2 linked regions of the Saccharomyces cerevisiae S288C genome follow. Changing the gene in region 1 together with any one later gene gives a genetic interaction. Each region holds a gene or a part of one and is shown on either strand. Other genes may lie near its edges.

Region 1 (3,960 bases):
GAAAGCCATTTTATTGATGCTCATGGGAGGTGTGGAGAAAAATTTAGAAAATGGCTCGCATTTAAGAGGTGACATCAATATCCTAATGGTGGGTGATCCATCCACTGCCAAGTCCCAATTGCTAAGGTTTGTGTTGAATACAGCATCACTGGCAATTGCTACTACTGGTAGAGGTTCTTCCGGTGTCGGTTTGACCGCAGCGGTCACTACTGATAGGGAAACAGGTGAAAGAAGACTAGAGGCTGGTGCCATGGTTCTTGCTGACCGCGGGGTTGTATGTATTGATGAATTTGATAAGATGACAGATGTGGATAGAGTCGCCATTCATGAAGTAATGGAACAACAAACGGTGACGATTGCCAAAGCAGGTATTCACACAACATTAAATGCTCGTTGTAGTGTTATTGCTGCCGCAAATCCCGTTTTTGGGCAGTACGATGTCAATAGAGATCCACACCAAAACATTGCCCTACCGGACTCGCTGTTGTCTCGTTTTGATTTACTATTTGTTGTGACAGACGATATCAATGAAATCAGAGATAGATCCATTAGTGAGCATGTCTTAAGAACACACAGATATTTGCCTCCAGGTTATTTAGAGGGTGAACCTGTGAGAGAGCGTTTGAATTTATCATTAGCCGTTGGGGAGGATGCAGATATAAATCCTGAAGAGCATTCCAACTCCGGGGCTGGTGTAGAAAATGAAGGAGAAGATGATGAAGACCATGTCTTCGAAAAGTTCAACCCCTTATTACAAGCAGGTGCTAAGTTAGCAAAAAACAAAGGTAACTATAACGGTACAGAAATTCCAAAGCTAGTCACCATCCCATTCTTAAGAAAGTACGTTCAATATGCCAAGGAAAGGGTTATTCCACAGTTAACACAAGAAGCCATCAATGTTATTGTGAAAAATTATACTGATTTAAGAAACGATGATAATACCAAAAAATCGCCCATTACTGCAAGAACTTTGGAGACTTTGATCAGATTAGCCACAGCTCACGCCAAAGTCAGGTTATCCAAAACAGTCAACAAGGTGGATGCTAAAGTGGCTGCCAATCTACTAAGGTTTGCACTATTGGGTGAGGATATCGGCAATGATATCGATGAAGAGGAAAGTGAATACGAAGAAGCTTTGTCGAAGAGGTCTCCACAGAAATCACCGAAAAAAAGACAAAGAGTCAGACAACCAGCAAGCAACTCTGGATCCCCAATCAAATCTACTCCAAGAAGGTCAACGGCATCTTCCGTTAATGCCACGCCATCGTCAGCACGCAGAATATTACGTTTTCAAGATGACGAACAGAACGCTGGTGAAGACGATAACGATATAATGTCACCGCTTCCTGCGGATGAGGAAGCTGAATTACAAAGAAGGCTTCAACTGGGGTTGAGAGTGTCTCCAAGACGTAGAGAACATCTTCACGCACCTGAGGAAGGTTCGTCGGGACCTCTTACCGAGGTCGGTACTCCAAGATTACCTAACGTATCTTCTGCAGGTCAGGATGATGAGCAACAACAGTCAGTTATTTCTTTTGACAATGTGGAGCCTGGTACCATTTCTACTGGTAGATTGTCTTTAATCTCAGGTATTATTGCGCGTCTGATGCAAACAGAAATATTTGAAGAAGAATCCTATCCTGTGGCCTCTTTGTTCGAAAGAATCAACGAAGAACTACCGGAGGAGGAAAAATTCTCCGCTCAAGAATATTTAGCAGGTTTGAAGATCATGTCGGACAGAAATAACTTAATGGTTGCTGACGATAAAGTTTGGAGAGTCTGATGTCACAGGAATGTTTACTAAAAGACTTCCATTCTTGGCTTTTTTTCTTTTTGTCATTCATAATTTTCAGTTCATTTCCAGATTATTTAGTTCATTAATTGTTATTCGTGTATTAAAGAATTATGTATTAAAACGCTTATTTCCTTCTTTTGTTTGAATGTGTTGTAAGCAGTTATGGGGCACTATATCTTCTGTTAATGAATATGTGTGATACTTTGGCTTATCTTACTTGCTCATTCGTGGCTTCTTGTCACGCCATACGTTACGCGTTTCTCTTCCTCTTCGCGTGTTCTGAATAAAGCCAAGTGGCAATGTCTCTTCCACCATATAACATGAAGCTTTAGCAAGCTTTTAGCTCTAGACATAGTTGACATATCAGACCTACAGAAACATAGGAATCGGTAAATGACAAAGAAATCATTTGTGAGCAGTCCTATTGTTAGGGACTCGACATTGCTGGTACCAAAGTCATTAATAGCAAAGCCGTACGTATTACCGTTTTTCCCGTTATACGCTACCTTTGCCCAACTATATTTCCAGCAATATGATCGTTACATCAAAGGACCTGAGTGGACTTTTGTCTACTTGGGGACATTGGTATCCTTGAACATCCTAGTCATGTTAATGCCTGCTTGGAATGTCAAGATCAAGGCGAAATTCAACTACAGTACTACTAAAAATGTCAATGAAGCTACTCACATTCTCATCTACACCACTCCAAATAATGGTTCTGATGGTATCGTTGAAATTCAGAGAGTAACTGAAGCGGGCTCTTTGCAGACTTTTTTCCAATTTCAAAAGAAAAGATTCTTGTGGCATGAAAATGAGCAGGTATTTTCTTCACCAAAGTTCCTTGTTGATGAATCCCCAAAGATCGGTGATTTCCAAAAATGTAAGGGCCATTCCGGTGACCTAACTCATTTGAAGAGACTATATGGTGAGAATAGTTTTGATATTCCTATTCCAACATTTATGGAATTATTCAAAGAGCACGCTGTTGCGCCATTGTTTGTTTTCCAAGTTTTCTGTGTTGCCTTATGGCTATTGGATGAGTTCTGGTATTATTCTTTGTTTAACTTATTCATGATTATCTCCATGGAGGCAGCTGCAGTATTTCAAAGATTAACTGCCTTGAAGGAATTTAGAACTATGGGTATCAAACCTTATACCATTAACGTGTTTAGAAACAAAAAATGGGTAGCATTGCAAACCAATGAATTGTTACCTATGGATTTAGTGTCTATAACAAGAACCGCCGAGGAGAGCGCAATTCCTTGCGATTTGATCTTGCTCGATGGCTCCGCTATTGTTAATGAAGCAATGCTTTCAGGTGAATCTACTCCCTTGTTAAAGGAATCCATTAAATTACGTCCTAGTGAAGATAATTTACAACTGGACGGTGTTGACAAGATTGCTGTGTTACATGGTGGTACAAAGGCATTACAAGTAACACCTCCTGAACATAAATCGGATATCCCTCCTCCACCTGATGGAGGTGCCTTAGCCATCGTCACCAAAACTGGCTTTGAAACATCTCAGGGTTCTTTAGTTCGAGTTATGATTTACTCCGCTGAACGTGTTTCCGTCGATAATAAGGAAGCGTTGATGTTCATTCTTTTCTTGTTGATTTTCGCTGTTATTGCATCCTGGTACGTTTGGGTTGAGGGTACAAAAATGGGTAGAATTCAATCCAAATTGATCTTGGACTGTATATTAATTATTACATCTGTTGTTCCTCCTGAGTTACCAATGGAATTGACCATGGCTGTCAACAGTTCTCTGGCCGCCCTTGCCAAGTTCTATGTCTATTGTACTGAACCATTTAGAATTCCATTTGCTGGTAGAATTGATGTTTGTTGTTTCGATAAAACTGGTACTTTGACCGGCGAAGATCTTGTGTTTGAAGGTCTAGCTGGTATCTCTGCGGACTCCGAAAACATTCGTCACTTGTACAGCGCTGCCGAAGCACCAGAAAGTACAATTCTTGTCATTGGTGCTGCTCACGCTTTAGTTAAATTGGAAGATGGTGATATTGTTGGTGACCCAATGGAAAAGGCGACCTTAAAGGCTGTTGGTTGGGCTGTCGAAAGAAAAAACAGTAACTATAGAGAGGGCACCGGAAAATTGGATATTATCCGTAGATTTCAATTTTCTTCTGCTTTAAAAAGGTCTGCTTC
Region 2 (3,408 bases), on another chromosome or scaffold:
CTCATTGGCCCGGAGTTAGGGGGAGATGTTCGCTTGCGGGAGCACGGGAGAAGGAACAGAGCGGCGTTAGCATCAAGTCTAAGGTTGAAAAGCTGCCCAACCTAAGGGCATACATCAAGAATTCTTTATAGTTTTATATAAAAAAATATATATATAGATAAATAGACAGATAGATATGACACAAACAGATAGAAAAAAAGCAGAGCGTGGCTCTTTGAGGTGGAACCCCAGCCAGTCTTGCTCCTTGCAGCCAAAAAAGGGTCTTGTTCAAGAGCTATGTTCAGTGTCGCTGCCCAGTCGCCACAAATAATTGTAGGAGGGCGCGCCAACCTCACGTTTGCATTCTTGAAAAGCCTCTTCTTCTTCGGTTGAAGTAGCACACACTAACCGGAGACAGAACAGTAGAAACCACTAAGCGAAAAAGAAATATATGAAAAGAAAAAACCCACCAACAGCGATAATAACGAGAAAAAAAAAATTATACCCTCTTGCGATTGTCTTCATGAAGTGATGAAGAAATCATTCAATTCAAATGAATTCAAACCTGACTGCGCTTCGGACAGTACAAGCAAGCCGTCCATTTCTTAGTAATAAGAAAAGAATGGCTCTATTTGTTCAGGAAAAACTAGCATAAAAGAAAAAAAGAAAGCTTCCAATAACCCTGCATTCTGCTTTTGAAGGTACTTTAACCGGCTCCTCCCCCATCAGAGAACCACGACTAAAAAAAAAAAAAAAGAAAAAAAGCAGAAAGCAAAAGCTGGGGCTAGTGTTCTTGTTCACTGTAGTTTCCTGGTCATCGTAATCACGGCTGGATTACGCCAATTGTCAAGATCAATTGAATTGTCAAAGGGTAGACTGTTTCCCGCTATATCGTCGCAGAGTGGGTCTGCCAACGGCGAGGCCACCGCATCAAACAAATTGTTGTTGTCTACGGCAGGTAGCGTCGTCGACTCTGGTACATTTTCCGTCTTAAACATCTGCAGCTCCCATGAAGTCTCTTGGTCCGACGCGGAATCGCGCATACTCTTGGGCGACAAAGTCGCAGGCTCCATTGTACAGTTCAGAGGTGAAGGTGTGAACGTATCAGACGACGAGTGCGAACTGGCCCTGGTGTCCAGTGAAGCGCCCCTCGTGCTCTGGAAATCCCTGTACTCGTCAAGAGAAGCAACAAAAGCGTCGTGGCTGCAAGTCAACGCGTCTTCGTGGTCAGCCAGTTTTTCAAGGTTGACGCTGTTCAGTAAATTTTCCAAAAGAGAACATTTTCTCTCGAGATACTGCAGATGTAGTCTTTTTTTCTCTCTGCTCTGGTGAGCAGCTCTTCTGTTTCTCAAAATACGCTCGATCCTTCGCTGTTCCTTTTCCTCTTTTGTCTTGGCTCTTTTCCTTGGAGGCAGAGTCGACTTGAAGTTGGTAGGGATAGCCAAGTTCGATTGCGAATTACTAGTTAGTTCAAAATCAGTCATTTCCATAGTGGCGGTTGTTGTCGTAGGTGGGGGAGGAGGAGGTTGTTATGTTTGACACTGAGTTAAAGCCTTGGAAGTTTAAATAAAACAAGAAGACAAGAAGAAAGGAAAATTTCGCTAAAAAACATATTTCTGTATTCATTTCTCGAGTTGTCCATTGAGGTGAAATTTCTTCTAATATATAGTGAATGTAGGGAGCGAGAACAAAAGAGAACAAGGTGTTCAAAACCACGTTCATCACTCGGTACGATGTATATTTGCGACTCTTTTTAGCCCTACTTAATGCTGAGCCACTTTGCCTTACAACCCTCATAAATGTATTTTTATCCTAGCTTCTTTTTCCATATTGCCCTAGGTCTTGTTTATTCATGTCACGTGACTATATTTCCAGGTTTTTCTTTTTTTCCTCGTCCCTTTTGTGGGAAAAGAAAGCGTCCTTACTAAAAATGAGGGAGCTTTAACTTTAATATACAGCTTTTGGCAGCTTGGTGTTGTTTTTCATTGTAAAAATAAGTTGTTGTTCGTATCACAGCATTTTCAACTTCTGCATTGTCTGCCGTTTTTTGTATAGATATAGACGTATATATATATACAGAATTCTCTATCCTCTTAACCACTCCTGGAAGGCCTGCTGTAGAGGTTCTGGTGGGTGCTTTTACTGAATTCCTAACTCATCAAGCATTTTCCCTTTTTTTTTTTCCCTTTCCTTTCTCTTGCCTCATTTGATAGAATAGATAAGCCCAGTAGAGGAAGACAGATGTTCAATAGAAGTAACACCGCAGGCGGATCTCAGGCTATGAAAGAGGGACTTGGCATAAACAAGCTCTCCCCGATATCATCGAATTCGAACCCAAGCTCATTGACTTCCTCCAATTATGAAAAATATCTGCAGCTGGCCACAGAGAAGAATCCGTGTATGATCTTGGAGCTGGAACTGGACGGCAAGGTGCGATATGGCTCTCCACAGTGGAACACGATCACAGGAGTCGCCGATGATAGTGGCTCTTCTCCGACGTACATTGCAGACCTTATTCTCGGATCCGATCAAGATAAAGGTGTCTTTCAAAAGGCCACAGACATGCTGCTCATGAATGATGACACCAGTTGCACTATAACGTTCAAGATAAAGGCAGCCGACTATGAAGGTAGCGCAGGCTGTGACGATGAAAGTACGATAACGACCTTGGAAGCACGTGGTATCTTAATCAGGGATGGCCACACACAGTTGCCCTCTCACACGATGTGGATAGTCAAGCCTCGCACAAACGACTGGTCAGACTTTTATGCCAACGAAGACGCTCAAGACGACATGGTCATCCAGTTATCCGATAATTGCGACGATATCGATATCCAACTTCCCGAAGAGTTCGCCAAGACGCTTGGGTTCGGCGCTAAGATCTTCGTGCAGTACTTGAAGAGAATACGACTGGAAATGATAATAGACGAGTTCAATCTACCTCTGCCAAAAATGGAACTATGCCGGGTCTGTGAGAACTTTGTCCCTGTTTGGTGGTTGGAGACCCATTCGCAAAGTTGCGTTTGCGAGCATAGAACGGAATCGCTCATACAATTACTACACGATAATCTTCTTGAGCAACAGGCGATCTTGGCAAACTTCACGAAAGATTCAGAGTATAAGGGCAGTCAGATACAGGTACGTTCCAACAACTTCCTTAACCAAGTTTTAGACTCCTTAAGAGAGCTGTGTCAGGACGCCATAGATATCAACCCGAGTGAAATGGTTCCTGATCTTTACCACAGTCTTTCAACATTTCCTCAAGATAATGGTAATAATAACAATAATAATAATAATAATAATAATAATAACAATGCTTTGTTAGATCAATTCCCTATCCAAAAAGATACAGTTAGCTTGAATTCATATTTTCAGTTTTCCCCAAGGACTAACCACAACATTCAAAACGTCACGTCGTGGCAATCAAGA

Evidence for each region. A genetic interaction does not mean that the proteins touch.
Region 2: mutations in SPF1 (region 1) and HAC1 together harm fitness more than expected from each alone (negative genetic interaction), as found in Saccharomyces cerevisiae (5 studies listed by BioGRID, with this or other methods).

The regions. Positions count from the first base shown.
Region 1 is NC_001137.3:88,070-92,029, forward strand, and holds the start of SPF1 (ion-transporting P-type ATPase SPF1), read left to right. Parts: upstream 1-2,188; coding exon 2,189-3,960. Other genes in the region: MCM DNA helicase complex subunit MCM3, read left to right, coding at 1-1,783. UniProt on the Saccharomyces cerevisiae protein: Endoplasmic reticulum translocase required to remove mitochondrial transmembrane proteins mistargeted to the endoplasmic reticulum.
Region 2 is NC_001138.5:73,240-76,647, reverse strand, and holds HAC1 (transcription factor HAC1), read right to left. Parts: upstream 1,470-3,408; coding exon 809-1,469; intron 557-808; coding exon 501-556; downstream 1-500. Other genes in the region: protein kinase RIM15, read left to right, coding at 2,221-3,408. UniProt on the Saccharomyces cerevisiae protein: Transcriptional activator involved in the unfolded protein response (UPR) pathway. Recognizes and binds to the UPR element (UPRE) in the promoter of UPR-regulated genes such as KAR2, PDI1, EUG1 and FKB2.